4 linked regions of the Schizosaccharomyces pombe genome follow. The gene in region 1 interacts genetically with each later gene. Each region holds a gene or a part of one and is shown in the gene's direction. Other genes may lie near its edges.

Region 1 (6,980 bases):
AGGATCAAGTCTAACTAATAATAGAATGCGTATATAGAAGGTATTTTCATATGTAAAAAAAAAAAAGAAAAACGTAAGCATATATATGACCCTCAATTAACATACAGATTCCAAAGGACAAGTAATGCAATTTACTACTTTAAACGTAGCTCTTACCAAGCTTGGAAAGAAAGCGCAAAAAACAAGTTATCGTTTATGAGTTATCATTCCACTGGGATAGAACATTCCAGTCGTCAGCAAGTCCAATGTGCTTAGACGAAAGTTCGTCAGAAGCACCAAAGTCATCGTTAGAGCCGAAGCTAACAATGTCTTCCTCATCTTCTTCATCCATATCACACCAACTGCGGCCAAATTTAAGATGATCCTTGTTTCCTTTAATACTGTTAGGAAATACGATAGCTGGTGCACTGCAAGAATAGGGAGAACGTTTCGTATTAACGGGTACTGCTGTTGCAATGGATTTTCCAATATGCATATTATTGAGACTTTCACCAAGTCCAGAATCATAGGAACGTTCGCTATTGTTGACTGGAGCCAAAGATGCAGGGCTCCGAGGAGACGACGAGGTTGAAATGTTCTCATCAACGTCAGACAAAGCTGGCAACTTTGAAGGAAGAAGACCACGCTGTATGGTGTTAGCGGGTGTCAAAACAGATGGAGTACGTAACGGTTCGCGATCTGATTGAGTACAACGAACGTTGTCCTCAGCAGGCATGAAATCGGATGCGCGAAATTCTTCTTCTTCATTAACGAAGCTTTCCAATTCCTCATCATCTGTCGTCCACTTGGTAACCGCGAGTACGGCTTCCCTCGTTTTGGCGAGAGAACGTTTCTCTGGACTCACACAAAGGCATGCTCGCAAGACGTTATATGTATCTTGACTCAACGTAGGGAAAACGTCAAATAAGGTCATTGCGTCCAACATGTAATCAGCAAATATAGGATCCTTTTCGTGTGGATAGGTAAAAGGATTACGTGCAAAAATTAAGTTTAAAAGGCAAATACCAAGAGCCCATATATCCGCTGCACGAGGGCTGTAACCAGCACCATCAACTTCCTCAAACTGTTCAGGAGCCATGTAACGGTCACTGCCAGTTCCAAAGTCATAAGATATTTTGTCCCTGCAAGCAAGTCCAAAATCACTGATCTTGACCACAAGCTCAGATCCATCTTCTGAAAGAGAAAGAAGAAAGTTTTCTGGCTTTAAGTCACGATGGTAGATACCATGAGAATGCAAATGTGCAACACCATCAATGATTTGAAGAAAAATATTCTTAATCATTTCAGGTTGGTTCTTTGCATTTGGAAAATCATTATTCAAGATGCACTCGTATAAATCACCAAGAGGGCAATATTCGAGCACGACATAATAGTATACATTGTCTTCAAAAGATTCAACGAAATGAATGATGTTGCGGTGTCGAGACCGCGATAGCTGGCGCAAGATATTGACTTCTTGCAAAAAGGTATAAGCAGGTTTTTTGATGCACTTAATGGCATACTTCAAATCCTTGCAACGGGGAGTCCGAAAAAGACGATGGGCTAATACTACAGTGCCATACGATCCCTTATTCAGAGGGCGCTCAACTTTATAACCTTTCTTTTGAAGCAGCTTCATAATCACACACACTTTCGATTCCGAACTTTTCTTCTTTAATCAAAGTTTGAGAGGTCGAGCAGATGATAACTTAATGTCGGTCGAATGATACCTAAAATTCACAGTTTTCTTAAATTCTCCTTTAATAGACTCAAACAGGTCGTTCTTTGAAAGTTGAACAAATAATATAGATATGAATATAAATACAGAAATATATATATACTCTATTTGTTCTTCACAGTACACACCTGGGGAAGAAGAGGAAAGATAGTAAGAAAACAAAAACAAATTCCAGTAAACACTCAATCTCTAGAAAGCCAACACCTGTACAAGAAACAGGTTTCAAAAAGAGATTGGCGGAATACTTCGGCAACGAAATAACCTAGTAGAGGGAAGAAAAGTCGGCCTGGCTGTTCGAAGAGGATGGCGGGTATGAAAACAGTGGTTTCGCGTTGAATACTTTGGGAGAATTAGAATTTCGTAGCAATTCACTTAGATCGTGTGTGTATTAATATTTTGTTAAGCAAATTTTCTCATGTTGAACCCAGAAATGTAGCAGAAAACAGAACCTTGGTTGGTTGTTGTTGGTAGAGGGTAAAGTTATCCGCCCCCCCTGAGGAGTTCTTTTTAGTGCTGATGTTCCTTTGATTGCGATAGAGAATTTAACGAAATTTAGTGGAATATAGCACAATTATGTCGAGATAGTAGATGAGTTGGTAAGGAAGATTCGTGATCAATTTATCCCGTTCTGACTTCTTCTTCCTTATTCTATGATAACGTGACTGTGTAGTGCATTATTTCTCCTTAAACTTGTGCGTGATAAATAAATAAATATAAAATAGAACAAGTCGTATATACTAATTTATAGACACATATGCTATCGTCTACAATCTATTTTCATTTTTACTAATTGTTTTAATTATTTTTTCTCATCTTATTGAATTCTTTTCTCGTTTCTATCTTCGTTTCACCGATCGTTTTAGATGCACAAGTAACCACTGTTAACTAGAATAGCAAAGTAGATAGATGAACGATGGAAAATGTTCGATAATGAGAAAGATATAAGCCTCGAATATGAACTAATTATTTCGTACATTTTAATGAAATGATCTTAAAATTGCCTAACAATTTGCTTTTTGTTTGATCATTATGTTGCTTGGTTTAAGGAAGCTGCCATAGCAATTAAATATCAAGAGATATATAGGCCCTTGAATAGAAGTACGAGATTGGAAGGGATCATAGAAGCTTCCTTTGAGTTAAAACTCTGATTTATTAATTTTCTCCGCTTCGGTATGTGAATCGTCAACGGTGTCTAGAAGGTAATCAATGGTAGACTGCTACCGGATAAATAAATAGTGAAGTATCTGTAGTATTGGTTCTACAATTCGCATATGAAACGAAATATACCGTTACTTGATGCTTTATTATTATTTGTTTTATTCTAGTATTAGTTAAGCTGGGAACGGCTTGCTGTGGTTGATAGATAAACATTGTTGGGAAATTTCCATTTTATTAAATTATTAGTATCCCCAGGCAAAAAAAAAAAAAAATTGGTTTATTTAGACTTGGACTCTTTTTACATTTAAAGCGTAGAAACAAAAGAAGAAGAAAAAAACAATTAATATAAACGATAGCATTACGTTAGATGGGTTGCTGAACAAAAAAAAAAAAACACAAAAAACTACAAAATAAAGTAAAAAAAGAAATAATGGTAAAAATCAGAAAAAATAAATTAATTTATATAAAAATACGGAATATTATTAAAGAAATCAATTAAAAAACAGGAAGTTATTTTAAATAGACTTCCATTCAAAAATATCCCTTTTCTATATTTTTGTAATTCATCACCCTTGGCTATCGAGCTAATGAAGATAATACCAACCCTGGATACGTATATCAATGGTGAAGAGTGTGTAATAATTGAGTTCGAAGTTCCATGAAAGAACTACATTATGCCATACTTTATCACGTCTTATCGTATTTCTTTAGGATTCCACTTATTTCACTTCAAGTGGGAGAGCTCTTCAAGCAACTTAGGTATTCGTTACGTCCAAAAACTAAACATTTAACGGCATATCCCGTCAATCTCCTTAATTGTTTTTTAAAGATCGCTTTCTTATGAATTGTGATTTTAGCAATACAATAAAACCAAACACGCCATACAAAAATGTCCACAAACCTCACCTTACTTACTTGTGAGCACTCTCATCTTAACCAAGCATCCGAACTATAAGCAGGCAGTCCAAATCCTCGTTAAACACATATTGTACGTATTAACGAATACGAAAATATTACACCATATTGTGCTGTTTCATTCAGAAATCGGTTTTTCCGTCTCTAATCGTGCCATACGCTATTGTAAATTTGCGCGAAACAAAGCGTCGCTACTCTGAGAGCATAGAGGGAAACTTTTGTCACCCTCAACATGCTAAAGAATACTGGTTGAACAGTTTACTTCCAACCACACGCGTGTAGCAGAAAATTTGAAAAAATGAGTGATCAAGATGCCTTAGATACCCAAGAAAAGGTAGGAATTCAGACTGTGTAGTATGGTGGAATTATTTGCTTACATGATTAGGAACTATTGGAAATGAAAGAGCGAGTTGCTGAAATGGAAGCAGAGGCTGCAAAGCTTCGTGCCATGCAAGAACAACTAGATAATGAAACGGAAGCTTTGAGAAACGATAAGGAATCCATTGATGCTCAAAGTGTCTATGTTGGAAATGTTGATTACAGTGTTACTCCAGAGGAGTTGCAAAGTCATTTTGCTAGTTGTGGATCTGTTAATCGCGTTACCATTTTGTGTGACAAGTTTACGGGACATCCAAAAGGGTATGAATCGAACTTGTGGATGACGTTGGAATGTACAGCTAACCTAGTTTCGTAGATTTGCATACATCGAGTTCAGTGAACCAAGCTTAGTGCCTAATGCTCTTTTATTAAATGGATCGATGTTGCATGAACGACCTTTAAAGGTATGTAAAACAATCACAGTAACTACCAGCAACATGCATTCTAACTTGAAATGTAGGTTACACCCAAGCGGACAAACGTTCCTGGTATGAGCCGTGGTCGTGGTCGCGGACGTGGACGTGGACGGGGTCGTGGCAGAGGAGGATATCGTGGAAGAGCCCGTGGTTTCGCTCCGTATTAGGTAATCGCTTTGATGACTTGAAAAAGTGAAAAATGAATTATGAGCATTCAAATCGTCACCAATAACAGTTAGGTGGGAAAAGATTAGAAATGACATTTAACAGTATGTTGGAAATTAACTAGTATTTCTTTCAACTCATTCGTTAAATGTTTATATTCCTTGTTTATTCTTTTGTGTTGGATTACACGGGTTTCCTTTAAAGTCATGATCCCATTCACTATATTAAAACATATATGCTGACATAATGTAATTCACCGACCCTTCAATTCCTCTTGGGTATGGACTAGTTGATTGCATTTTTGTGTTTACAATGCCAGCTTCATAAAATTTTGTTGTATATTGTCGTTTTTATGCTTCTGATGCACGTTCATAATCTTCAAAATTTTCTTTTTTTTGTTTTTGAAAATTTATTTGCTCAGCTTAATTTCTCGTCATAATCTTGATCCGCTTGATTAGAAAAGGGGTCAGAAAAGGAAGCTACTCTATACACCGTATCACATATTACAGTCATCTCCTTCCTTTCTTGATTAATAAAACTAAACACCTACCAATGTATAATTTCATTATATATATATTTTTGTAATGAGGAGATACTTCTCTGTGTTCACCATTACATTTTGTGTTTAATATAGTGAAACACATTAACGTTCTTCTCTTCTCCTTTGGAGAGTTTAATGCTGAGGATCTTCTTATATTTCTAATAAATTTCTTGATTCTGTTTAATGATTTTATATAGAAAATGTATGACTTTCTTTTCTAAGTCTACAAGTTCATTTTTATATGTAATAATTGTGAGGAAATTAATTTTTAGTCATCATGATGTAAAATGACATTTAACAAAAAAAGCTTGGTGTATATCTAATTAAGTAGTTTTTACATAGTCGATTTTTATGTTCATATATTGTACATGTCGAGTCAATTTCTTTTAGCTACCTGCGGCATATTCCGGATTCCAGTACAAATAATTTCCTTCCTGCCTTTTACCCAACTCGTATAGGGAAGCGATAAATAAAAGTAACAAGGATAATCAAGTCAGTCGTTTCTACGCTGTGCCACTCAGATTCGATGACCTTTGTTTACTCTTTCGATTTGCCAAATATTAGCTGAGCGGATATTCGCTGAACTTGCGAGTTACACCTATTGATCCACTATTTAGCCAACCAACAGGTATTTACACTAGGATATTCCAGAGAGCATTCGAGCATTCGAGCATTCGTCTGTCGATTTATAAAAAGAGCCAATTTAGATCGTATATCGGTTTACTACTTCTACAACGAAAAAGATAAATTGGTCGATTTCCTCAACACTCTCTTTGCCTTTTTAAATTACATATAAAGTTGCTGTTTAGCCAGCGAACGCTTAGTATCTTTAAACGCATTTCCCTAGCAAAACAAGAATATCGTTGCGTAGTGAACTACAGCGTTCTTCATACTACCACCAAACTCCCCCACCTTCCTACTGGCTCGGAACCCCCGCTTCAATATTGAAACCTTTTGTGGTATACGTATCCGCTTTTACCATTTACCACAATCGCTTACATATTGAAGGTTTCGTGAAGTTTCGCGACTTTCACCTCTCCGCTTAGAGGAATCCAAGTAATTATATGTTAAGAACATGGAACAAGGAGCGAAAAGAGTCCGGTTCTACATAGTAGCTGCTGATGGATTAAGTAAACGGGATCTTTTTCGACAGCCCGATCCCTTTGCTATTTTAACGGTAGATGGCGAGCAAACTCATACAACGAAAGTTATTAAAAAATCGGTGAACCCTTATTGGAATGAAGGATTTGAAGTGTAAGCACATGACAAATGCGGCGGATAACATGATCAATTGAAAATAAAAAAAAAAGAGATGGTAGAGATTGGACCTTGGATGTTCTTAGATTTGGATAGATATGTTTATACTCTTAGTATTCACGTTAGTTCGGAGTCTAAGCATTTCTTTGATGGTCGGATAGTTTTTGTGGCTCCATAACGAAATTTTTTTAACAATTTTCTAATAACAACATCATTTGTATATTATCATATCCTATCCTTTTTGCAAATCTTTTATTACTACTGCATCTTTTTCTTTTTTTTTTTTCAATATGTTGATTTTGCCCTTTTCTTTGTTCCGTTATACTAACTAAATTCTAGAACTGTTAAGCCATCTAGCGTTATATCCATACGCCTTTTTGATCAGAAAAAGTTCAAAAAGAAAGATCAAGGCTTCCTTGGCTTAGTATCCTTT
Region 2 (10,664 bases), on another chromosome or scaffold:
TCCATAACATCATCAATGGATATTAAGTCTCTAATATCAACAGTTGGTTCCCATTCGAAGTTTTCTGCAGCAGGATCTAAATTAACTAAATGGCAAGAACGTCCAACGCTTTTCATATAAGACATTAATGCTCCACAAAACGTACTTTTACCACTGCTGGCAACACCACAAACAAAAGCTGCCACCTTAACCATTTTTCTAAAAAGACTAACGTCTTTTGAAACGTCGTGTTCTTTTATCCTATGCCTTCTTACCTGTGCCCGTATGCACCCTTATAACTCGCCATGCGATGCCCTAAGTATTTTACTGACTTTTAACAACAAATACTTTAACTGTGAATAACACGCTCTGTTTAAATCTTTAAGTCTTGCAGAATTTACGTTAAACGTCACTAAAAACATTCATTTTTTTGAATACCCCCTAATATAAGTACGATGTCAATATAGCTTTTTCTACTTCTTGTATAAAATTAGTTTAATTTCTCTTGATACAGCTTAACTCACTCCATATTTCAACTCAGTCATAAGTTGTTTAGCAACGGCTATAGCATCGCTTGTAAATTAACTCACTTTGAAGTCTGTTATTCTCAAGACCTGTTTACAACAATATAGTAAATGTATTCTAAACTGACCACAGTCTAACGTATCTCTATTATCAATTAGATATTACGTAGTTGATAATACAGTGAAACAACGAGTCCCCCACATATAGACTCGACCACCACACCCGTTTGTAGTGAACAGTGAGTGTAACTCTACACGCTGGCTTAAACCACAACCCCAATTTTAAGGGGAGTTATTCATAAATGTGAAGATGTCTGCACCTCCATGGCAAACTTCAGAGTACGATGAAACTGAGGGATTCACGTCTAATCAGGAAGGGCCGTCAGCAGCTCCTTCCAAGACTGTGGCCTCTGACTGGCATGAAGTGAAGACAGAAGATTCTCGAGTTTATTACTACAACTCAGTAACGCGCAAAAGTGTTTGGGAAAAACCAGAGGAGTTAATGAATGACTTTGAAAAAAAGCTTTCGAAACTAGCTTGGAAAGAATATGCCACCGCTGATGGCAAAAAGTATTGGTATAATGTCAATACCCGTGAATCAGTGTGGGATATTCCTGATGAATATAAAGCTGCCCTTGTTGATGAACCGGAACAGCAAAAAAAGGCTTTGTCGTCTAAAATCAAAAGCAATGACAACAAGCCAGCTGTTCAAAGCATTCAACGGCATGGTCCGGATGTTGCTGCTCCTTCAAGTCAACCAGCTAAAGATCAAAGCCAACAAATTTCACAAGGCAGTCATAAACGAACTATAAACTTTGTTCAACAAAAGGATAAGCGCCAAAAACGTTCTAATGATTATCAGCACGAAAACTATGATACCTATGAAGCCGCAGAGCGCGCTTTCTTTAAATTTTTAGACTCTCATAATGTCAACCCAAGCTGGACTTGGGAGCAGACTGTCCGAGAGCTTTGTGATGCTAAGGGCTATTATGTCATGAAGGATCCTTGGCATCGGAAATGTGCTTTCGATGCGTACATCTTAAACTATTTGACCGATCAAAGTGATGCAGAAAAGAACCGAGTAACTAAGATTAGGAAGGAGTTTATTGAGATGCTAAAAAGTAGTGATAAAATTCATTCTTATACTTTGTGGCGTACTGTGAAGAATGAATTTTCTTCTCATCCTGCTTTTAACGCTACTTCTTCTGAAACTGAACAACAACAACTATTTTTTGAATATAAGCAAAAGCTTTTAGAGGATGAAAAGCAGTTGGAAAAGGATCGCAGAAAGGAAGCATTGGATGATTTTTGTTCGCTTTTGCGAAACATGAATTTCGAGCCTTACACCCGCTGGAGCGTTGCGCAAGCAAAATTTGATCAAGATCCAAGGTATACAAGGAATTCAAATATGAAATATCTTTCTAAATTAGATGCTCTTGTAGCATTTGAAGATCATGTTAAGCATTTGGAACGCGAATATATTCTTGACAAACAAAAGCAGAAGAAAGAAAAGCATCGTATAGAAAGGAAAAATCGTGATGCCTTTCGTGCGCTATTACAAGACTTACGCGTGCAAAAGAAGATTACATTACGCACGAAGTGGAAAGAATTATATCCCATAATCAAGGATGATCCAAGATATCTTAACTTACTAGGGCAATCTGGCTCTACACCATTAGATTTATTTTGGGATACGATCGTTGATTTGGAGAATATGTATCGGGAAAAGCGTAATTTGGTTTTGGACTGTCTTGAAGTATTGCAAATATCTGTGGATGACACATCTAATATTCCTGAAATTATAGCAAGGTTATCAGAAAAGCTTAAAGATCGAGAGGAAAGTGAGGCAGTAACTGAAGACCTTATTGAAGAAGTTGTTAATCGATTACGTGATAAAGCGATCCACAAAAAAGCTGAGGAAAAGCGTGCTGATGAACGACGCATTCGAAGGAAAATTGATAATCTCAGAAGTGCCATTAAATACCTTAAACCTCCAATTTCTGCCGATGCTTCTTACGATGAAATTAGACCTTTAATTTCTATTCTACCGGAATTTGCTGCGCTCCATTCCGAGGAACACAGGATGGCTGCTTTTGACAAATATATAAGACGGCTTCGAGAAAAACGGGAATTGGAAAAGCAATACCAAAACAGAAGAGGTTATTATGATGTCGGTAAAGATGAAAGTTATTTAGCGAATAGTGCCCGACCACATAGCGGATACGAAGATGGAAGGTTGGAATATTCTGCTGACTTAGCGTCAAAAAGTAATAGGAATGAAATTAATACGATGCAGGATGTACAGGAAAATTCAATCTCTCATGTTACCGCTACACAACCGGCTGTTAAAAATATTGTTGATGATGCAGAATCTAGTGAAGAAGGTGAAATTCGTTAGTATTCAAGTTAGAAATTTAATTGTTAGTGCGTTTAATACACATGCATTTTAATGTTCTCTCAACTCGCTTTTTGTATTCATACAGTTTGATTACCTTTAGTAGCGGATACAGCCTGTAGCTATTTGAACCTCTACCACCAGTACCTCAAAAATTGTTTTTGTAACAAAACTAGCAAGTTGCTATTAAAATAGCAAAATACTGCTATAAGCGTTCTATTTAATAACGCGTAAGTAAATTTTTATTAAATTTTGTTGCAGCCACAGTTCGTTTTCCGAATTTGACGCTGAATATGTGAATGATCCACGTGTCGCATTTTTTTGTTAAACCTACATTGTTCAATGCACTGAATGTAGCTCTCTTTTTTTAAAAACCTTCTTTCTTATTATGTTTTGCTTGTTTCTCTTGTGATACAATCTTTTTGGTGGCATTCGACCTTTTATTCAAAATTGCTCTTTCTTCGAAAATGAACGATATAGTGCTTCCTATCGAAAAGATACGGGAGTTAATATGTGTTCTTTATTTAAATCTGTTCGGATCTCGTCTAAATATAGTCGTTAGTCAAGAGTTATAAATATTCACATTTAAAGTGGCATCTGGCAGTTCTCAGTTAACTAGAAGTTGGATGGAAGCCTATTACATATTTCACAATTATTCAGCATTTCAATTTCGGAAAAGTTTTGCAATAAGAAATTTGCGAAATTGGTTCTAACTTCTGTTTTAGTTGATATGAGTACAAGTGCTATAGCACTTGCTTTGTCATCATCTAAGGCTATTGAGCAGCTGGATCACGTTCAAACTGAAACCCCTAATCTTAAGCAGGAAATGTCCGAATCCCCTTCGAATAGCGGCGTAGCCTCCAAGCGCAAATTACAATCTACTGAATGGCTCGACCCAGAGCTTTACGGTCTTCGACGTTCTGTATGTCTCACATTATTTTATTCATTATGAAACTTACTTAGATGCTAATCATTATAGGGTCGCACTCGTAGTAATCCAGGAAGATATGTAGACACTGATGATCAAGAAGATGTGTTCCCATCCAAGCATCGTAAAGGTACTAGAAATGGTTCATCTTTTTCTCGTCATCGAACAATTCGCGATTTAGACGATGAAGCTGAATCTGTCACCTCTGAGGAAAGTGAGTCAGATGATAGTTCTTATGGCGGAACTCCCAAAAAGCGATCTCGGCAAAAAAAATCAAACACCTACGTTCAAGATGAAATTCGATTTTCTTCTAGAAATAGTAAAGGTGTTAACTATAACGAAGACGCGTATTTTGAATCGTTTGAAGAAGAAGAGGAAGAAGAGATGTATGAGTACGCAACTGAAGTTTCTGAAGAACCTGAAGATACACGAGCTATAGATGTCGTTTTAGATCATAGACTTATTGAAGGACACGATGGCTCTACACCTTCTGAAGATTATGAGTTTTTAATTAAATGGGTTAATTTTTCTCATCTTCATTGTACATGGGAACCTTACAATAACATTTCTATGATCAGAGGATCTAAAAAGGTCGACAATCACATTAAGCAAGTCATACTTCTTGATCGAGAAATTCGAGAAGATCCGACCACTACGCGTGAAGACATTGAAGCAATGGATATTGAAAAAGAGAGAAAGCGTGAAAATTACGAGGAATATAAGCAGGTAGACAGAATTGTTGCCAAACACTTAAACTCCGATGGCTCAGTTGAATACTTAGTGAAATGGAAGCAGCTGTTATATGATTTTTGCACATGGGAAGCTTCCTCAATTATTGAGCCTATTGCTGCCACGGAAATTCAGGCATTTCAAGAAAGAGAAGAAAGTGCTCTTAGTCCATCAAGAGGTACAAACTATGGTAATTCGCGTCCTAAGTATCGAAAACTGGAGCAACAGCCTTCGTATATAACCGGTGGTGAGCTTCGTGACTTTCAGCTTACAGGCGTCAACTGGATGGCATATCTTTGGCATAAAAATGAAAATGGGATTTTGGCCGATGAAATGGGTCTCGGTAAGACAGTCCAAACTGTGGCTTTTCTTTCATATCTTGCACATTCTTTAAGACAGCATGGACCTTTTCTTGTAGTTGTTCCACTTTCTACAGTTCCTGCCTGGCAAGAGACATTAGCTCTTTGGGCTTCTGATATGAATTGTATAAGTTACCTTGGAAATACCACCTCAAGGCAAGTAATAAGGGATTACGAATTTTATGTTGATGGAACTCAGAAAATAAAGTTCAACTTGCTTCTAACTACTTATGAGTATGTACTCAAAGATCGCTCGGTGCTTAGTAATATAAAATGGCAATATATGGCAATTGACGAAGCTCATCGATTAAAAAACAGTGAATCGTCACTTTATGAAGCACTTTCTCAGTTCAAGAACTCAAATCGATTACTTATAACTGGAACACCATTACAAAATAATATTCGTGAGCTTGCGGCTTTGGTAGACTTCCTGATGCCAGGAAAGTTTGAGATTCGTGAGGAAATTAATTTAGAAGCACCAGATGAGGAGCAGGAAGCTTATATTAGAAGTTTACAGGAGCATTTACAACCCTACATTTTACGAAGATTAAAGAAAGACGTTGAGAAATCTCTTCCTTCTAAGTCTGAACGTATCCTTCGTGTTGAGCTTTCTGACTTACAAATGTACTGGTACAAAAATATTTTAACTCGCAATTACCGTGTCCTTACTCAAAGCATAAGTTCGGGAAGTCAAATATCTTTACTAAACATAGTTGTGGAGTTGAAAAAGGCAAGTAATCATCCTTACTTATTTGACGGAGTAGAAGAGTCATGGATGCAAAAAATAAACTCTCAAGGAAGACGAGATGAAGTCTTAAAAGGTTTAATTATGAACAGCGGGAAAATGGTGTTACTTGACAAACTTCTATCACGTCTTCGTCGAGACGGCCACCGCGTTTTAATTTTTAGTCAAATGGTTCGTATGCTTGACATTCTTGGTGATTATCTTTCTTTGAGGGGATATCCACATCAGAGACTGGATGGCACTGTCCCTGCTGCTGTACGAAGAACTTCAATAGATCATTTTAATGCACCAAACAGCCCAGATTTTGTGTTTTTATTATCCACACGAGCTGGAGGATTAGGTATTAATTTAATGACTGCTGATACAGTTATTATTTTTGATTCCGATTGGAACCCTCAAGCTGATTTACAAGCTATGGCACGTGCGCATCGCATTGGTCAGAAAAATCATGTTATGGTATACAGGCTTCTTTCCAAAGATACGATTGAAGAAGATGTCTTGGAACGTGCACGTCGTAAAATGATTCTTGAATATGCAATTATTTCATTAGGTGTTACAGACAAGCAAAAGAATTCCAAAAATGATAAATTTTCTGCTGAAGAGCTTAGCGCTATTTTGAAATTTGGAGCTTCTAATATGTTTAAAGCAGAGAATAATCAAAAGAAGCTTGAGGATATGAATTTAGATGAAATTTTGGAACATGCCGAAGATCATGATACTTCCAATGATGTGGGTGGAGCCAGCATGGGTGGTGAAGAGTTTTTGAAACAGTTCGAAGTTACAGACTATAAGGCAGATGTATCTTGGGATGATATTATACCCCTAACTGAACGTGAGAAGTTTGAAGAGGAAGACCGCTTAAGAGAAGAGGAAGAAGCGCTTAAGCAAGAAATTGAGCTTAGTAGTAGACGAGGTAATCGTCCTTATCCTAGCTCTGCGGTGGAATCCCCATCCTACTCTGGAACTTCTGAAAGGAAGAGCAAAAAGCAAATGCTTAAAGATGAGGTTTTACTGGAAAAGGAAATTCGGTTGCTTTATCGTGCTATGATTAGATATGGAAGCCTTGAGCATCGCTACAATGACATTGTTAAATATGCTGATCTTACTACGCAAGATGCTCACGTAATAAAAAAGATTGCAGCTGACTTAGTAACCGCTTCACGCAAGGCTGTATCAGCAGCCGAGAAGGACTTATCTAATGATCAGTCTAATAATAAGTCATCTCGTAAAGCGCTGCTCATTACATTTAAAGGTGTAAAAAATATAAATGCTGAAACATTGGTACAAAGGCTAAATGATCTTGATATTCTTTATGATGCTATGCCAACGTCAGGATATTCTAACTTCCAAATTCCAATGCACGTTAGATCTGTTCACGGCTGGTCCTGTCAGTGGGGACCCCGAGAAGATTCCATGTTGCTTTCTGGAATTTGTAAGCATGGATTTGGAGCTTGGTTAGAAATTCGAGATGATCCAGAACTCAAAATGAAAGACAAGATCTTTTTAGAAGACACAAAACAAACAGACAACTCTGTCCCCAAAGATAAAGAAAATAAAGAGAAAAAGGTACCTTCAGCTGTGCATTTGGTTCGTCGAGGTGAATACCTACTTAGTGCTTTACGTGAGCATCACCAAAATTTTGGCATAAAATCAAGCCCCGCTATTAGTACTAATGGAAAAACTCAACCTAAGAAGCAGACGGCTAATCGCAGACAAAGTGGCAAGCCTAACGTTAAATCTGCGCAAAAAATAGAGAGTGCAACTAGGACACCATCGCCTGCAATTTCAGAATCTCGTAAGAAACCTTCTTCTAAAGACACGAAGATTGAAACACCTAGTAGGGAACAGTCTCGCAGCCAGACAGCTTCACCCGTCAAATCTGAAAAAGACGATGGTAATGTAAGTCTAAATGCTGAACAAAAGGCACGCTGCAAAGAACTGATGTATCCAGTCCGTAAGCATATGAAAAGACTTCGGAAAGATTCTAGTGGGCTTGGACGCGCGGAGTTGGTGAAGTTACTTACTGAGTGTTTGACAACGATTGGAAAGCATATTGAAAAAACTGTCAATGATACACCCTCCGAAGAAAAAGCTACTGTTAGGAAGAATTTATGGATGTTTGCATGTTACTTTTGGCCGAAGGAGGAGGTTAAATATACCAGCTTGATCAGCATGTATGAAAAGATGAAGTAGATTTTAGCCTGTCATACAAAAGCCAATTTGTTTCTTCATTTTTCATCCGGAATATTTTAGGTTTGAAGCTCGAATATGTTTATCTTTTACAGTCTTCAATTTTGATTGCTACATTTCAAAGATCACTAAATTCTAGTCTAAAAATCGTTTCTTATTGTACCTTTAATTATAATGTTAATAAACCCTGCATTTCAAATCTTGACTTTAGGAAATCCTCCGGTATTCAGAACATAGAGTCAGCATAGATAAGAATAATCCAGTAATACAATTTGTTTTTAATTGAAATATCAATGGCAAACTGCTATTTATTAGTCTGCAACTTTATGCAGTTTGTAAATATAATAGTGTAACTCAGTAGACATCGTTACCAGTGAAAAGTTCATTCAAACATCACAGTACGGCAGGGTTCACCTTTCACACCAAATCACGTTTATAAATTAGAATGTCTCGTGCGGCCTTACCAAGCTTAGAAAGTACGTTACAAATTATTTAGAGTGGCTTTCGAGTACTATTTATTCGATATGCTAATGTCTATGATTTTTTCGTTGGCCTAAAGACGTTTACTAACATAATGCTTAGACCTTGAGGATGATGATGAGTTTGAAGATTTCGCAACAGAAAGTAAGTACTTTTAAAGAAATAATTATTTAACATCAAAAAGATTGGCCTATGAAAGATACAGAGCTTGATACTGGAGATGATACGCTATGGGAAAACAATTGGGACGATGAGGACATTGGAGACGATGATTTTTCTGTTCAATTACAAGCAGAGTTAAAAAAGAAGGGTGTTGCCGCCAATTAAGATATTGCTTCTGCCAGAGTGTATATCTCCGAAACTGCCTTCATCCCTCAGTATAATTTTAATGCATTAACAAAACGATCGAATACAGGTTCTTTCATGACTCTAAGGTTTTGCTGGTTCTGTAAATACGGTGCAGATAGATATTCTTGTGTTGAAGATTTTTACGTTTAAAGAACTTCAACTTGTCCATATCTGTAAATTAGGTCTATGATACTTATATACGCCTGAATTGATTATATTCTAACAATTACCGGCGAAACGGTACTGCCTGTATATGCGAAATGAAGATAAGCTAGAAAATGTAAAACCTATTTGCATTACTATAGACAATAGCAACCCATGATTGTTCAAATGATGATCATTTCAAATGGTCAAAAGAAGAGACGCGTAGTTAATATGTAAAGGAATTTAAACAAAAACATTGAAGTGTATGAGGCAAAGATGAAGGTGCCTGGGAAAATGAAACGCAATTGTCATGAACTTAATTTCTTAGAAGATTCTTAATCGTAATTATCAGCATCTCCTTGTTCTAAGGCTTCTTCCATCAACTTGAAAGTAGCGCGGATAGGCAAGCCTACAACATTGGAAAAGTCACCTATGATAGACTCAATCAATAAGGCGCCGTGACCCTAAACTTAGTCAGCAAAGTCATGCGTAAAAATTTAAAAAAAACAAAAAATGCTATAATTCATTATTTGAAAGCACGCACGGTTCAGGCACTTCCATCACCCTAAAAACAGCCAAAAACATACCTGTATAGCATAGCCTCCGGCTTTATCTGAACCTTCGCCACAACGAACATAAGCTTCGAGAAATTCGTCAGTTATGGAAGGGTCAAACTTCACCTGAGTTTCTTCAAGGTGTGTTTTCATAACATAACCTGGATGAATAGGCACTTCCATAGGCACAATAACACTGACAGCAGTAAATACTTTATGGGGTGTTTTAGAATTTCTGAGCTTTTTCAGCATGGCAAGGTGATGCTTGGGATCGTTGGGCTTCTCCATAATCTCAGAATCCAAAATCAATATAGTATCGGCGGATACAACTATGTCTGGTGAATCTTCTTCGGCGGCCTAAGTAGAAAAAATGCGTTAATATAGAAAAACAAGACAACTTTAGAGACTTCAGTGTGAAACTCTCTGTAAAGAAAAATTTAAATTAAACATCCATACCAGTTTCTCATAAACTGCAATCGCTTTCTGTACCGAAGTGTCAGCAGCATATTCCCAAGGAGTTATGTACATAGATTTATTTAAATCTTCGGGGAATCCGGAAACGCAGGTTTCAACATTAGGAAATCCCTATTTTAAATCAACATTAGTTTACGAACACGACCAAACGAATGAAATTAAGAGACGAACTCCAAAACTTCTAAGTAACACAAAACAGAGAATCATAAATAAGAATAATTTATTAAGATACAACACAATTTTTACGGGCAATGCTTCATGGAAAATATAATAACGACAGCAATTGATACTTTTTTTAGGAAGCAATTGCTTGGGTAGATTACATGATTCAAAAAATTGTCTCCATTTTTTATTTTTCTTACCATCTGTTCAAATAACTGCTTTCTGCGAGGGGATCCTGAAGCCAAAATAATCCTTTTATCTTTTAATTGACGGTGCATTGACGTTTCCAAAGTAAAATGAGAATCGTAAGAAGGAGGAGACGTATCCATTTTTTCGTTGCTCATTTTGAAAATATAAAGAAGTAAACTTTGAAAAATGATTTGAACTCAACAAATTTAACTCAAAGTTGTTTTTTGCAAATTTTGTGTTTCTTTTTCTATTACCAATAGGTACGGATGCAACGAAGCACATAAACATTTAATAGTGACATACAATAGGACCCCATATCTTTCGAGCTCGCTATATTGTACAGTCAAAGGTATTAAAAAAATGTGAATTGTATACGAGTAAAAAAAAAAATCAGGACCGATTTTAATGTGAAGAGAAGCTTTGAAAGAGATTTTTCGCATGTATTATGGCGTTGGTAGCTTCTG
Region 3 (6,684 bases), 820 kb from region 1:
TTGAGTATCTACCTAAAACATTCAACACCCCTCTTTATTTTAACGAAAATGATAACGCCTTTTTGATATCCACAAATGCGTACTCTGCTGCTCAGGAGCGTTTGCATATCTGGAAGCATGAGTATCAAGAAGCATTAAGTTTGCACCCATCTCCTACAGAAAGATTTACCTTCGATTTGTATATATGGTCTGCCACTGTTTTCTCATCTAGATGTTTTTCATCCAATCTAATATATAAGGATTCAGAGTCTACTCCCATTCTTCTTCCTCTCATTGACAGTCTGAATCATAAACCAAAGCAGCCAATTTTGTGGAATAGTGATTTTCAAGATGAAAAATCTGTTCAATTAATTTCCCAAGAGTTGGTTGCAAAAGGCAACCAGCTGTTTAATAATTACGGTCCAAAGGGCAACGAAGAGTTACTAATGGGCTATGGGTTTTGCTTACCTGATAACCCATTTGATACAGTGACTTTAAAAGTAGCTATTCATCCAGATTTACCGCATAAAGATCAAAAAGCTGCCATTCTTGAGAATGATTGCCAATTTCAGTTGAGCAATTTAGTATTTTTTTTGCCAAAGTCCCCAGATAAGGAAATTTTTCAAAAGATTCTTCAATGTTTAGCAGTTGTAACTGCCTCTTCTCTTGAACTTCGAAAATTGACAGCGCATTTGTTGACGGGTGATCTAGCTTCTTATGTCCCTTCTTTACGAGGCCAGATTAAGTCCTTGGAAGTTTTACTTATGTACATCGACTCTAGAGCTGACCTTTTGTTAAAATCAAATCCGCAAGTATCTCCGACCTCTGAAAGGCAGGTTTGGGCCAAAATTTATCGCGATAGTCAGATTAATATTCTTCAAGACTCCATCACTTATGTCAAAAATTATATGGAAGAATCACTCCAAAAAACTTACAAACCTCTTCCAAACCTTTTGCAATATCTCATCCTTAATTCGATATCTATTTTCCTCTTGCAACATCCTTTGTTTGCACCACTTTCGCATGCCATTGAGAGTCTCTATGGTTCAACCGATGCTGAAGCATTGGTCGCTACAGATGAGCAGGATATTTTAATGATATTGATTTGTGTATATTGTTTATCTATTTCTGAAAAATTACCTTTCTCAATTAGTATGCTTGTGGAAGGGTATCCAGCCGTTGCTAATCCAGAAGGTGTTGAAGTCTTTGAAATCTTGGATGAAATGTTTTTTCAACAATTTACAAACGTATTTGGGGAATCCAAGCATTTTAATAAAGAAAATGTTTCTTGGGCATTGCAATTGGTAAATGACGAAAGTCTCGACTTTTCTGGATTTACCTTTATTATTGCCCATAATTGATAAATAAAAATTAAGCGATTAATATATAATGTACGATGAGTATTCCAATATTGGGTTAGGTAAAGTAGATGACAAGACGTATTTTGATAAATGATTAAGGTGTTTAGTGTCTTTTATATACATAGGATGATTGTAGTGCATAGAAAATTAGGGTAAAGTTAGGTTGATCCAGTTTGCACAAGTTTGTATGGCCAATCATCAATTTTAGCAGCCACTATCCATTCACGAAGGGCTTCATGTAGCTTCTTATGGAATTTTTGACTAGATTTGTAAGTGCCTGCTTATATAAATATTGAAAAAAATTGCTTACCTGCTCTTTCGAAACCGTAACCCCATGATTCTTTCTAATCCACTTAGCTGGAGTTCCAAACGTTTTCTTTGACGTTTCTCTAAAGGTAAGCCTTCGAGTAATTCATTAATAAGATGGATGTGAGCTGCAACATAGCTGGTGGCTTCGGTTTCTATACCACCAATAAACCCCAATGGAGCCTCGTACACTTGATTATATTGTTTCTCCAAATCAATGACATTAGAATCGTGGTTCCACACCCAGAAGACATTACGGCTAACATCTTCAAGTTCGATAATCCAACGGCGAAAAGGTCGATCAACTCGAACGTTTTTTAAGAATTCAACCTCTTCATCCTTATCGTCTTTAATAGAAAACAAGGAAAAAACTTGCATTGCACCTTCTTCTTTGTCGAGATGAGCTTTGTAAAAGGAGTGAACTATTTGAACGAGTACTTCCCTTACGACAAAATCACATGGCTGTTTCTTTGAAAGCAAAAGGGAAATCAATCGCTCGACATTATAAGTGGATTGAGATAAACATTCCAATCCGCGCTAGGAAAAACGTTAGCAATTGTCAAAGGCAATGAAGACATAGGTCTAAATGTATATCACATGCATACCTGAACAGTGCACATGGCTTTAACGCAAAGTAAAAGTTGCTCCAGTATAGAATCGTGCAGTTCCTCTCTCCATTCAAGGCGAGAGATTTTGTCGATTGTACAAAATACTACACCGAAACCGCCGTTGTGTATAAACTTCTCTACCCATCTGTATTGCAGTTAGTATGAAAAACCTCAAAATAAACGAATGATTTATCATTCAATCAAAACAATAGTAGTGCCAAAAAAAAAGATAATTTAAGCATCACCACTTTGATTCACGTAGCTGCACAAAATGTAAACATACATTACTTGCTCGTTTCTGAGAAGTAGAGCTAATTTGTGTATGATAGATTCATCGATTGAGTCAATTTTTGTATTTACAATATACGAAATAAAGTCGTCAGGTTGCTCGTAACATGGTTTTTTACGCATCCAAGCAATTAATTTATTTCGCTTTTTCTGGTCTTTTTGCTGTAAACTGGACACGATTTCCATTTTAATTCCTTCATTAAGGGAAAGTAAACTCTTTGAGGCCTCTGAAGAAAGAACTTGAGGCTTGATTAAATCTTCAAAACATTGTGGCATTTCATCTTCAGAAGGGGTTGAAGGAGTCTGAAAGCTCAAGCTATCCTCTCGATCAGAAGAATTAACGCTTTCAGAGAGCCCATCAGAGCTCAAAGAGCGAGCACCTAAAAGCCGTTTTACTGAACGTAGAGAATTCATAATGTGTGTAAGGAATAGTCGTGTGGTATATTTACATAGAAATGGGAGGGCTGGTATATATTAAAATGGCACGCTGACGCGTCCGAGGAACAAGCCACAGGAACATGAAACGGACAATATCGGGAATTAATTCAATAATTAGGCTAATACGCGGAACGGTTGTTCCAATTTTTAATATGTACAATACTAAGCTATGGCCCTAGACTTAGGGAAGGAAAATAGCACATGAATGTTCGAAAAAAAAAAAGAGAAAGCTTCCGTTATTTAATAAACCATACTATTTACGCCTATCATTATTTTCATTAATAGCTATACATAGTAAATCCAACTTGCAAAATTTTGAGATTACGCGTGTTGAGTTAATGTTTGATATTGGTATATACACTATCGTATGTAAGTCAAATGAGAAGAATGGAAAAATAAGAATGTATTGAGCTTTAAGATATAGTAAATCTCGGTCTATTTTGGGTAAGAATTTTAATATGTACTTCTCAATTATCTGGAATTCACTGAAGGTTGTGAAAAGGAAAAATATTTCGGACATCCAAAATTTGCTATTATAATGAAGGTGCAACTAACTGAGTAGTAGAACCGATATCTAAAATAAATTGATTATTTGGAAATGTATGGTTAAACAAGAAGGCTCATATTACCTGAACTAACATAATGTCGTTAAAAATTACAGTTCAAAGCAGTGCTGAAATTATACTAGAATTCTGGTACATTAAAACGCGTCGCTTATAATAGAATCACTTCTTTCTATCAATAGATTAAACATACAATTTTGCTATTTCACGTAGGGATGTAGTAAAGTGAGAGAAGTAGGTGGGACATACATTTCCTACTCAGCACAACGTAACGTGCTTAGTGTCAATATCATGGGGACGAGTGGAATTGAAATATTTGCAGCTTTAAATGATTTCACAGATGGTAAGAGGCGAAAATAAACACATTGATTAACATTTTACAGCCATTGTTTCAGTCCCTGAATCAGTATGTGGAAAATTCACGAGTTTGAAAGAGATCGATGCACAAGTACGAGGTAAGTGAAATATATATTTTTAAAACGTGTGGTTAACAAAATCTTAGATATCCGTCAAAATGTCATACAGGAAATTGGTGTGGTTCTAAAAAACGAGAAAAATGACGAATTGTCAGGAGAAGAAAGATGTGAGCGATTACAAAAGACACTAAAAGAGATACTTCCATATTCTGATTCAAAGATTTGTTTGGCCACAGACGCAATGAATAATATCAAGAGTTGTATCGACCGTTTGGATGCTGGGTTTGAATATGTTGAATTGGAGATTCCCCAACAATTGAGATTGGGATATCCAGACGATCGAGCTTTAATGAATTATCATTCTACTGTGACTCCTCAAACTTCTGAAAGGAGACGGGAAACCCGTCGGCATCAAAATAACCAGCATTCCCAGCAATATTCCTCTCAGGAACGGTCGTCTTCATATAACAACTTTGAAGACGCTTCATCGCCGCAATCTTCTTATCACACCCCTACAAAGCGTCGAAAAAATGCTGTTCCTAGAAAATCATCATCACCTCCATTATCGAGTACAAAGCATGCGCCGCAATCTACGGAGAGGCGACCAGTGCGGAGATCAGAATCTCGTTTAAAACAGACAAATGGGGAACCACTTGTCAAACACGACACATTAGATTCAAGTGATATCAGCCGTGAAGGTGAGCAACTTTACTGTTACTGTCAACAAGTTTCCTATGGACAAATGATTGGATGTGATAACGAAAATTGTAAAAGAGAATGGTTCCATTTACCTTGCGTTGGTCTAGTAGAACCACCGAAGGGGATCTGGTATTGTAAAGAATGTGAAGAGTTAGCAAAATCATCTGAAAGTCGTCAATGAGCCGGGATCCTTTTTATTTTCTTTCACCTTCTTTTTATTGTTAATTTCTCAGTGTTTGACATCGTTATGAAACATCCATTACCACTGCTTGCATTGCTCTTGTTTACTGAATCAATTAAACTAACGACAACATTTCTATACCTCATAAAACCCTTATAACGATTTTTATGGTTTCGTTAAAGGATACAACCATCAGCTACGTATCTCGGTATACTATTTAATGATATGTAAAACTACGGTGTGTTTTGTTTGCAATCTACAAAAAGCGGATGCAATATGTATGAGTAAGTAATATTATAATTATTTTTATTAGAAATTTGTTAGTAACTAGTCATTGAAGTAAGGAAGCAATTTTAGGCGCAAACTTTATTAAATTTTTTCTTTGAATTTGTTTTGTTAGCTTACATACTTGTTAATAAATGGAAATTCCTTCATGCATGTTTCAAAAGCGAATTTAAATAGTATTCAAAGTAATGACAAATAGTGATACACAACATAGTGTATCATAGCTTAGTGCATTATTACTGACACACATCTATAGCAAATATATCTCTCTCGTTATTTTTTTAAGGATACCTCCTTGCATTACGTCTAAATGCTTTTACTAATGGATTTTCCAACTTATCGTTTCCCTCCTTCTCATCTAAAGTAATTCTTAAAATTGGGATTTTCTTGAATTTTAAATACTGTTTTTATTTGTGTTACAAAAAAGTTAATTAACAGTTTCTTGTCCAAATCTCGTTGAATTTTTGATCATCTGATAATGAAGTACCAATTTAACGTTGCTATGGCTTGTGATGGCTGCAAAAATGCCATCGATCGCGTTTTAACTCGTCTGGGTGCGTTTTAAAAAAAGTCATTTTTTAAGTATTTAGATTTACATTTATATAAGTATTTGTTATATATGGTTTTTCAGGAATTTTGTTGATGAATCTGTGTACTAATTAAGTAATGTCGAGTAGGTGTTGAAGACAAATCCATTTCGGTCGAAAAACAAGAGGTTATCGTTACCACAGACAAACCATATGAGCTCGTAGAACAAACGATTAAAAAAACTGGAAAGGAAGTTCGCAGCGGTAAAGTCCTAGAGTAGAGCATGGCAAAAATTACGACTTTAATCATATCTGATCGGTTCTCTCAAAAATATGCTCTTGACTTTTTTGTTGTCGCCTTATTGTTAAGATTTATATATACGACTAGACGAGGCTATTTGTTTTGTAGGATACAGCGTACTGCTTGAGCCTTTGGTGTTATTTTCCTCCAATAAATTGTGATAAACTTATAGACGTTTTCCGGTTCATTTCAATTGTCTTGGTAAGTTGAACCCCGCTTTACATGCCGTTTGTAATATTTATTGTGATCATTGTTTATTATCAGACTGCACTTTCAGTCATTTTGTTGCTATTTTTTGACTTAGGAGTTTTCACTTATTTTTTTTATTTTATTTTATACATTACATAGGCACCTCCAATTCAGGCAATAACTGTTTTCTCGGTAAATAATAGATTCACATTCATTTTAGCTACCTCTAATTGAGTTTACTCAACAATTTTGTTCGGTATATCGAAAACATAATGTAGTCGTGTTTATAAAATTACTATGAAATGAATATACATCACAAAGAGATATTAAATCTGGCGTAATTGAGATTATATTACCTTTTTCAAAGCTGATTTCAAACCGCTATCAAGCAAATTGATGGCATTTTTAAAAGCTGTTTGCATTTCCGCTTCTGCTTTATAACAATCATCGGACGTCCAAGCTTTACTTTTCTTATTTTTTGCAATCTCTTTTTTTAATTCAGTTCGCATTGCAGACAGCTGTTCTCGACTATCTTTTGCGTAT
Region 4 (6,267 bases), on another chromosome or scaffold:
TCACATGTTACCAAAAGTAATCAATATTCTGAAATGATTGGAAACCTTCCTTATCCCACTAGTAGCAGGTAAGGAATTATCGTTGCTGCAATTAATTTCGCAAAACATCGCAATTTTGTTTGTTTTTTTAGCCTTGCTAACGTAATACAGAAAACGCACGCGATCTCCTTTAATGTCGAAGGGTAAATCCTACGATAGAAAGGGATCTATATCCATGTCTAAAAACTTCAGCCCTGATTGTGAAATACTAGTCACGGAAGACTGTCCAAAGGAATTTGTATGGGGAGTGGAAAAAGTCTTTCAGGAGCGTCGATTGAATATACATACCACTTGTTTGTACCGTGACTCAAACTTACAAGTCATTATTAAAAGCTGTATTATTAACAGCGTTAAATCCATTATCTTGATAAACGCCGGTTTGGCTCACCTAGGGAAGGTGTCGGTTCAAGTGTTTAAAGACGGATCTAGCGATTCAGAAGTCCGTTGTGATGGTACGTTGAATAAAGATATATGTGTTTTGACAGAACTCTAACTTTGTCTTTATAGAATATGCTGCTGTGGACGTGATGGTTGCTGCAAGTATTGTTCACCACGCAAAGACTTCTCTCATGCACTCAGCTGCTTCTAGTACGCCATCGTATAATGGTGAGCGTATTGTGCCTGACGTGCCATCTCCCTGTATATCAACGAATCCTAATCTACCAGCTTTAGTAGGTTCTTTAGATTCTGTTAATCTTCACCATTTATTAGGATTCATTCAAAATACCTATAGCACTACTTCATACATTCCAACTAGAGTTAGTTTTAATCCTAATGATACCGGAGGATCATTTGGAACAATTACATCTCAGTCCCAATTTGTTGTGAATGAGATGCCTAAAAATTATGCTCGTGATAATTACGAAGCATTGCATTCTCAAGAAAGCCGCCAAAGGTCTTCAGTTGCTGGAAACAAGCAACTTCAAAAGATATTAGAGCAGCTCGCAGAGCTCAAGCAACCTGATTTTTGATATCTGACCTTAGAAAAGGTTTATATATATTATTTGTTAACAAGTGTTTTAGGTAGCACTTTGTTAATATGGTTTTGCGATATATATGTCCTTGTCTTCAATATTTATTTCACTTTTTTCTCAGTTATTCTTGAAGCATTTATATGTAAAAACCAACAGACAAGTAATTTTTCTTGCTGCACGGACTATCAACTGTTCATTTGTATTTTTTTCGATGCATACAAAAAATGGTAATAAATCGTTAGGAAGAAAGTTTCGATACTTGATTTTTACTGATTAAGAGATTTAGCGAGTAAAAATTAATAACAACGACATATTTTTATTATTAATTTGATGATCATGAATGTCAAATGTCCTTTTAATATTTTACTACTTAGGTAAACGTGCAGTTTAATTGATCTGATAACAGCGATGCACTGCTACGCAACGCCGACTAGTACGTTGTAAGCTTAGTAAGTAAGTAAGTAGTAACTTTTATATTATAATCTTTTCATTACTAGTAATACAAGTGCCTCCCAATCTGAAGTTGCAATTAAGGAACTTTATTTAAAGTATATTATCAGGTTAATTTTTTTAATTAGAAATAACAACCGCTGGTCGGTCTGAATATCAAGGTGCTTTTAAAGGATTCTCTAAAATAGGAAGTTTTGAAGGATCCTCGTTTTATTTTGTGCCTCCACTTCAAATACGGAGGCAACTACAATTGCTTGAAAGGAAATTATCAAGTTATCAATACTTCTAATAATGTCTTCCTCTCCTCCAGCTTTAAAGAAATTTCGAAAACGCAGCCCAAAATCATGTTTAATTTGTAGGCGCCGCAAGGTCAAATGCGACCGTCAGCAGCCTTGCTCTCGATGTAAAGAAAGGAACGAGGTTTGCACTTACGCAGATGATACCATTGATAAAATGAACGTCGGACCACATCCTAGTCATAGCGAAAATGCTTCTGATTCTGAAACCACACTGGAAGTTTCTCCCGATATTAATCCGAAAAAAAATGAGAAATTTGATTTTTATGGATGGAGATCACTCTTTGAGTTGATTAAATATAGAAAGGATAGCGACATGTGCTCATCTCGACCTTCGTTTTCAATTCAGGCTTACAGTAGCTATAAAGATAATGTGGTTGTTGAGAGTTTGGCGAACCTTTTACCGCCATTTTGCATATCACAGAAAATTGTTAATTTATTTTTTAAAACACTAAATGTTGTCTGTCCTATTTATGATCAAGAGACAGTAGAAAAAAGCTTAAACAACATTGAATCACCAGAATCTTTTTCGTACGAAGATGCCTTCACTTTATTACCAATTATTGCTGCAACTATCCAGCTGAGCGATTTGCCTGATGTTATTCTCAATTTTTATAATTCGGCGGGGATTACTCCATTGGAATCCAGCCGTCTTATAAATTTAAAACTTAACGAGATATCCGAGCAGGAATATAAACATTTATGCTTGCCTGATAAAGAAATAATTCAGATGCTGCTTTTGCGAGCGTATGCAACAAAATTTCGCACAAGAATAAGAGGAGTGAATACTGACTTATGTAGAAGCATTCACGTATCAACCTTAGTAACTCCCCTCTTCCAAGTTACGGAAAAAATAGGAAAAAATACGTCAGATTTGTGGTTTGCTCTCTGTGAAATTGATGGTTTGGAATGTGTATTAAAGTACCGTCCGCCATTCATTCAACACGACACTTATGGTCGTCTCAAGCCGCTTCGTTGTTTTTTTAATGACGATATTAGCTACAATTTTCATCTACTTCTTGGAAGGTTACTTGATTGTGGTGTTTCAATCTATAAATCTGTTCATTCACTCACCGTTAGTAAATTCATTGATAAACTGGAGAGTTATGAATCACAGCTTTCGCTTATTTTGGTAGATATAGAAGCAAAGTTTTATGACCCTTCTAATGAAGATATTCAATTTCGATACATATTTTTGAAAATGGTGTTCTGGACTGCACGTGTGAATTTGTATCAATGTTTTATTACCCTGGATTCAGGGATTTTAGAAGATGAAGAAACTATTATTGGTAATTTGGGTGAAAGTTGTATTCAGTGCGTGAGGCTACTCATATCTCAAATCACTATATTAGAAAAACGAGGCTGGCTTTTGGTAGCGTTGTTGGAGATTATCCACGCCCTCATGTTGGCTGCGTTTTGCCGTGATAAAGGCTTTGAGGTGCCTTCTGACTTAGGTGACATAACATTATATGTACAAGAAAGAATGGTTGATATCGTAACATTTGATGATGGCATGGCTGTCCGATTTGGATATGTTTTAAGATTCATCAACAGTATGTTACACCCAAATGAACCGCCTATGCAAGATGCAGAACCTGAAACCACGGAGGATCCCTCTAAATTATTCGCTGACATTTTTGATTTTACTTCAAATTACTTTATACCGTCCGCCCTTCTTGATCAGTGACCTAAACGAGCACTTTGTAATTTTTTTGTTTGTATGATTGATTAAATTTCGATTAATGTTCCAAAGTGGTTCTAATGTCAAATTTATCTGCTCTTTTAATGACTCTCGTTTTTTAATGTAACTATTTTTGGTTCAATATAGACCATTTAGGAATTAACTTTCTTACTATCCTTCTATAAAGTTGTCTTTCAAATACAATTTTTTCAACAAAACTGCCTTTTCCAAACAGAATATGTTTAACTAAAATATGTGATTTCAAGTAATTAAAAAACGTTTAAAAAGTTTAGTGATATAAAACTCTCGCTAGTACTTTCAAATGAAAATGCATTACGCTGCGCAATGGTTCTATACAGGTTATGGTTGGTAAATTGGATGAATAGATTTTGCAACAATTATCAATTACATGTGTATAACCAAAATATTCTGCCTATTTAGACTGTGTAGTTCAGACTTGGTTAGATTTGGTAATTAGGGAATAATACGCATTTCCAAATTTGTAACATTACTATACCTATTACCTTTGACACTCAGTTACCTGTTCAAAACAACCGCCCCTTTTTCTGTTGCATAGAGAATGAGTTCTTCGTATGTACTGAAGTATAATACTTTTTAAAAAAATAACTAATATGAATAGAAATCCACGGGGAATTCCACCCGCTCAATTTTTTGAGTTCAAAGAGTTATCTATGGAGGAAGCTCAAGGTCATCTCGAAAAGTTCCAAGAAGCAATTGCGTAAGGATATATATGTTATTTCATATTAATATAATGTAATTTAGAAAGTACAAATTCATGGAGACTAGTGTGGTCAGGAGAGTTGCTAGTTTGGATGACAAAATTCCTGACATTCGAAAAACGTTACAGAGTGTTCAGTTCTTGAAAGAGCGACAAGGTGACTCTTTTACTGTTACATATGAACTAAATGACACATTAAATGCAAAAGCAGAAGTAGAAGCTAAAGACAATGTCTACCTTTGGTTAGGTGCAAATGTTATGCTTGAGTATACGGTTGAAGAGGCAGAAGCATTGTTAACGCAGAAGCTGAACTCAGCGGAAGAAACATTGAAAGCATGTAAAGAAGATTTGGAATTTTTGAGAGCTCAAGTCACTACAATGGAAGTGAATACAGCTCGCGTGTATAACTATACAGTTTTGCTTAGGAAAAAAACAAAAATGTAGTTAGTCAAAGCTGCTTAATTTCTTTATAAATGTTTCCAAAATATATTATCATTTTAACACATTTGCTTATCCTTAATGTCTCTTTAGTGTGTGTAACAAATGATAGAAAAAACTATATTATTATAACAATATTCTTATTTTAGAAACGTATAACCAACATTTGTATAAAAACGCTTTACAGAATAAAAAAGGATTACATTAATGCTCCGTTCTGGATTTTCGTGCAAACAAGCAATAAACTAAATGAATAAAACAAGCCTTCTCACACACATTTCAAACCAAATTTAAAATTATGTCAAACGATTTAAATCACAACAAATAAGGAAAATGAAATTCTAAATGTGTTCCTTTCACAACAGTTGACAGTGTAAGAAGCTGGATAAAAGAGTTCTTTATTAACGGAAATGATAAAAAAACGACAAATACCTATACATCACACTGGAAGATACCCGGCCTAATCGCTGTTAAGAGTTTCGAAAAGGAAGTGGAGACCAAAAGCGGTATTAATACCAAAATAGCTTCCTTCAAAATTAGTGATACAAATTAATTTTACAAATTGTAAAGAATGACTCAATGGATGTCAGATTAACAGTTAAAAAACACAATGAACAACATCATTCCAATACCACTATGAATCAAACCGATTCTAGTCAATGTATCATGTAGCTTTTGGAAATATATTCTTAAAGCACGTTGATTTAAGGAAGATGACTTGCATCAAAGATGGAGGAAGTGGTACTGGCAGGACGATCAATCAAATCAGCAGCAGGACTAGGTAACGGCTCAGGTGATGATGAACCCACGGACCATTCATGATCGGTGTTAGCAAGTTCCATATTGTTAAGACCACTCATGAAGGCTACTGCATTAGGGTTTTGAGTAAAAGAATCCCTTCCAAGTAAGTATGGGCTGCCGGTACGAGCCAAGGAGTTGCTGGTTTTTTCGGAAAGACCATGACCGTGGATAACAAACTCGTATTCCCAACGAAGGATTTTACCAGTTTGCAACTGTGGGAGGCGTAGCTTTTGAGCAAAAACGAAGCATATAATAGCTAAACACATACCGCCGACCAAATCTACAAAGTAGTGGTGGGTAAGGTACATAGTACACCAGCAAAGCCATAGAACATATCCATAAAAGCAGAAGCGGTATCGAGGAAACACATGCGAAAGGAAAAGTGCTTCCAGCATGGCCCATCCAGCGTGAAGAGATGGAAAGGCACCAAAAACAACCGGAGAGTTAGAAAAACCATCAGTGTAAATGCTAGTGCCGAAGAGAGCATCAATACGGGCCAATCCACCAGGAGAGCCACGTACTGCATACGTGGCAGGTTCTAAACCATACATATTTTCATACCAAGGAGGAGAACAGGGGAAAGCCATTTGGATAAGAACACCAAATAAATTCATATAACCAAAAGTTCGAGCCCAAACTGGAAGAGTTCCAGGAGGTGCAAAGATGAAAAGAATAAATGAAATGATAAAAGGAGCCGAATAATGCATGACTCCATATGGAACCCAGGCCAAAATATCAAGGATGCTATGCGTGGTTTTCGAGAGAAGACTAGAAAGATTAGAGCCATAAAGAATATTTTCAAGTGTGGGTAAAACACGAACCCATATGGGTGGACGCCAGCGTTCTGGA

Evidence for each region.
Region 2: mutations in pab2 (region 1) and hrp3 together harm fitness less than expected from each alone (positive genetic interaction), as found in Schizosaccharomyces pombe (2 studies listed by BioGRID).
Region 3: mutations in pab2 (region 1) and png2 together harm fitness more than expected from each alone (negative genetic interaction), as found in Schizosaccharomyces pombe (2 studies listed by BioGRID).
Region 4: mutations in pab2 (region 1) and pfd3 together harm fitness more than expected from each alone (negative genetic interaction), as found in Schizosaccharomyces pombe (2 studies listed by BioGRID).

Annotation. Positions count from the first base shown.
Region 1 is NC_003423.3:1,937,865-1,944,844, reverse strand, and holds pab2 (poly(A)-binding protein Pab2), read left to right. Parts: upstream 1-4,056; 5' UTR 4,057-4,088; coding exon 4,089-4,124; exon of another isoform or gene 4,125-4,175; coding exon 4,176-4,429; exon of another isoform or gene 4,430-4,484; coding exon 4,485-4,572; exon of another isoform or gene 4,573-4,628; coding exon 4,629-4,751; 3' UTR 4,752-5,474; downstream 5,475-6,980. Other genes in the region: serine/threonine protein kinase Ksp1, read right to left, coding at 194-1,618; HECT-type ubiquitin-protein ligase Pub3, read left to right, coding at 6,366-6,544, 6,887-6,980.
Region 2 is NC_003424.3:5,374,799-5,385,462, forward strand, and holds hrp3 (CHD family chromatin remodeller Hrp3), read left to right. Parts: upstream 1-3,025; 5' UTR 3,026-3,128; exon of another isoform or gene 3,129-3,617; intron 3,618-3,623; 5' UTR 3,624-3,628; coding exon 3,629-3,820; intron 3,821-3,877; coding exon 3,878-7,852; 3' UTR 7,853-8,115; downstream 8,116-10,664. Other genes in the region: GTPase Fet5, read right to left, coding at 1-194; U1 snRNP-associated protein Prp40, read left to right, coding at 814-2,901; proteasome receptor/ubiquitin ligase adaptor Dss1, read left to right, coding at 8,295-8,325, 8,432-8,473, 8,514-8,656; Maf-like protein Ifs1, read right to left, coding at 9,157-9,285, 9,409-9,732, 9,832-9,960, 10,212-10,355.
Region 3 is NC_003423.3:1,119,100-1,125,783, reverse strand, and holds png2 (chromatin modification family protein Png2), read left to right. Parts: upstream 1-3,822; 5' UTR 3,823-3,834; coding exon 3,835-3,886; exon of another isoform or gene 3,887-3,926; coding exon 3,927-3,998; exon of another isoform or gene 3,999-4,045; coding exon 4,046-4,839; 3' UTR 4,840-5,123; intron 5,124-5,179; 3' UTR 5,180-5,202; downstream 5,203-6,684. Other genes in the region: ribosomal lysine methyltransferase Set10, read left to right, coding at 1-1,340; GTPase-binding protein Rid1, read right to left, coding at 1,499-1,601, 1,651-2,183, 2,252-2,399, 2,538-2,956; Cu chaperone Atx1, read left to right, coding at 5,603-5,678, 5,802-5,932; translation termination factor Rrf1, read right to left, coding at 6,489-6,684.
Region 4 is NC_003424.3:599,239-605,505, reverse strand, and holds pfd3 (prefoldin subunit Pfd3), read left to right. Parts: upstream 1-3,987; 5' UTR 3,988-4,020; coding exon 4,021-4,031; exon of another isoform or gene 4,032-4,080; coding exon 4,081-4,179; intron 4,180-4,223; coding exon 4,224-4,623; 3' UTR 4,624-4,680; downstream 4,681-6,267. Other genes in the region: poly(A)-binding protein Nab3, read left to right, coding at 1-68, 151-491, 547-1,010; SPOM_SPAC3H8.08C (transcription factor), read left to right, coding at 1,755-3,446; inositol phosphorylceramide synthase Aur1, read right to left, coding at 5,322-6,267.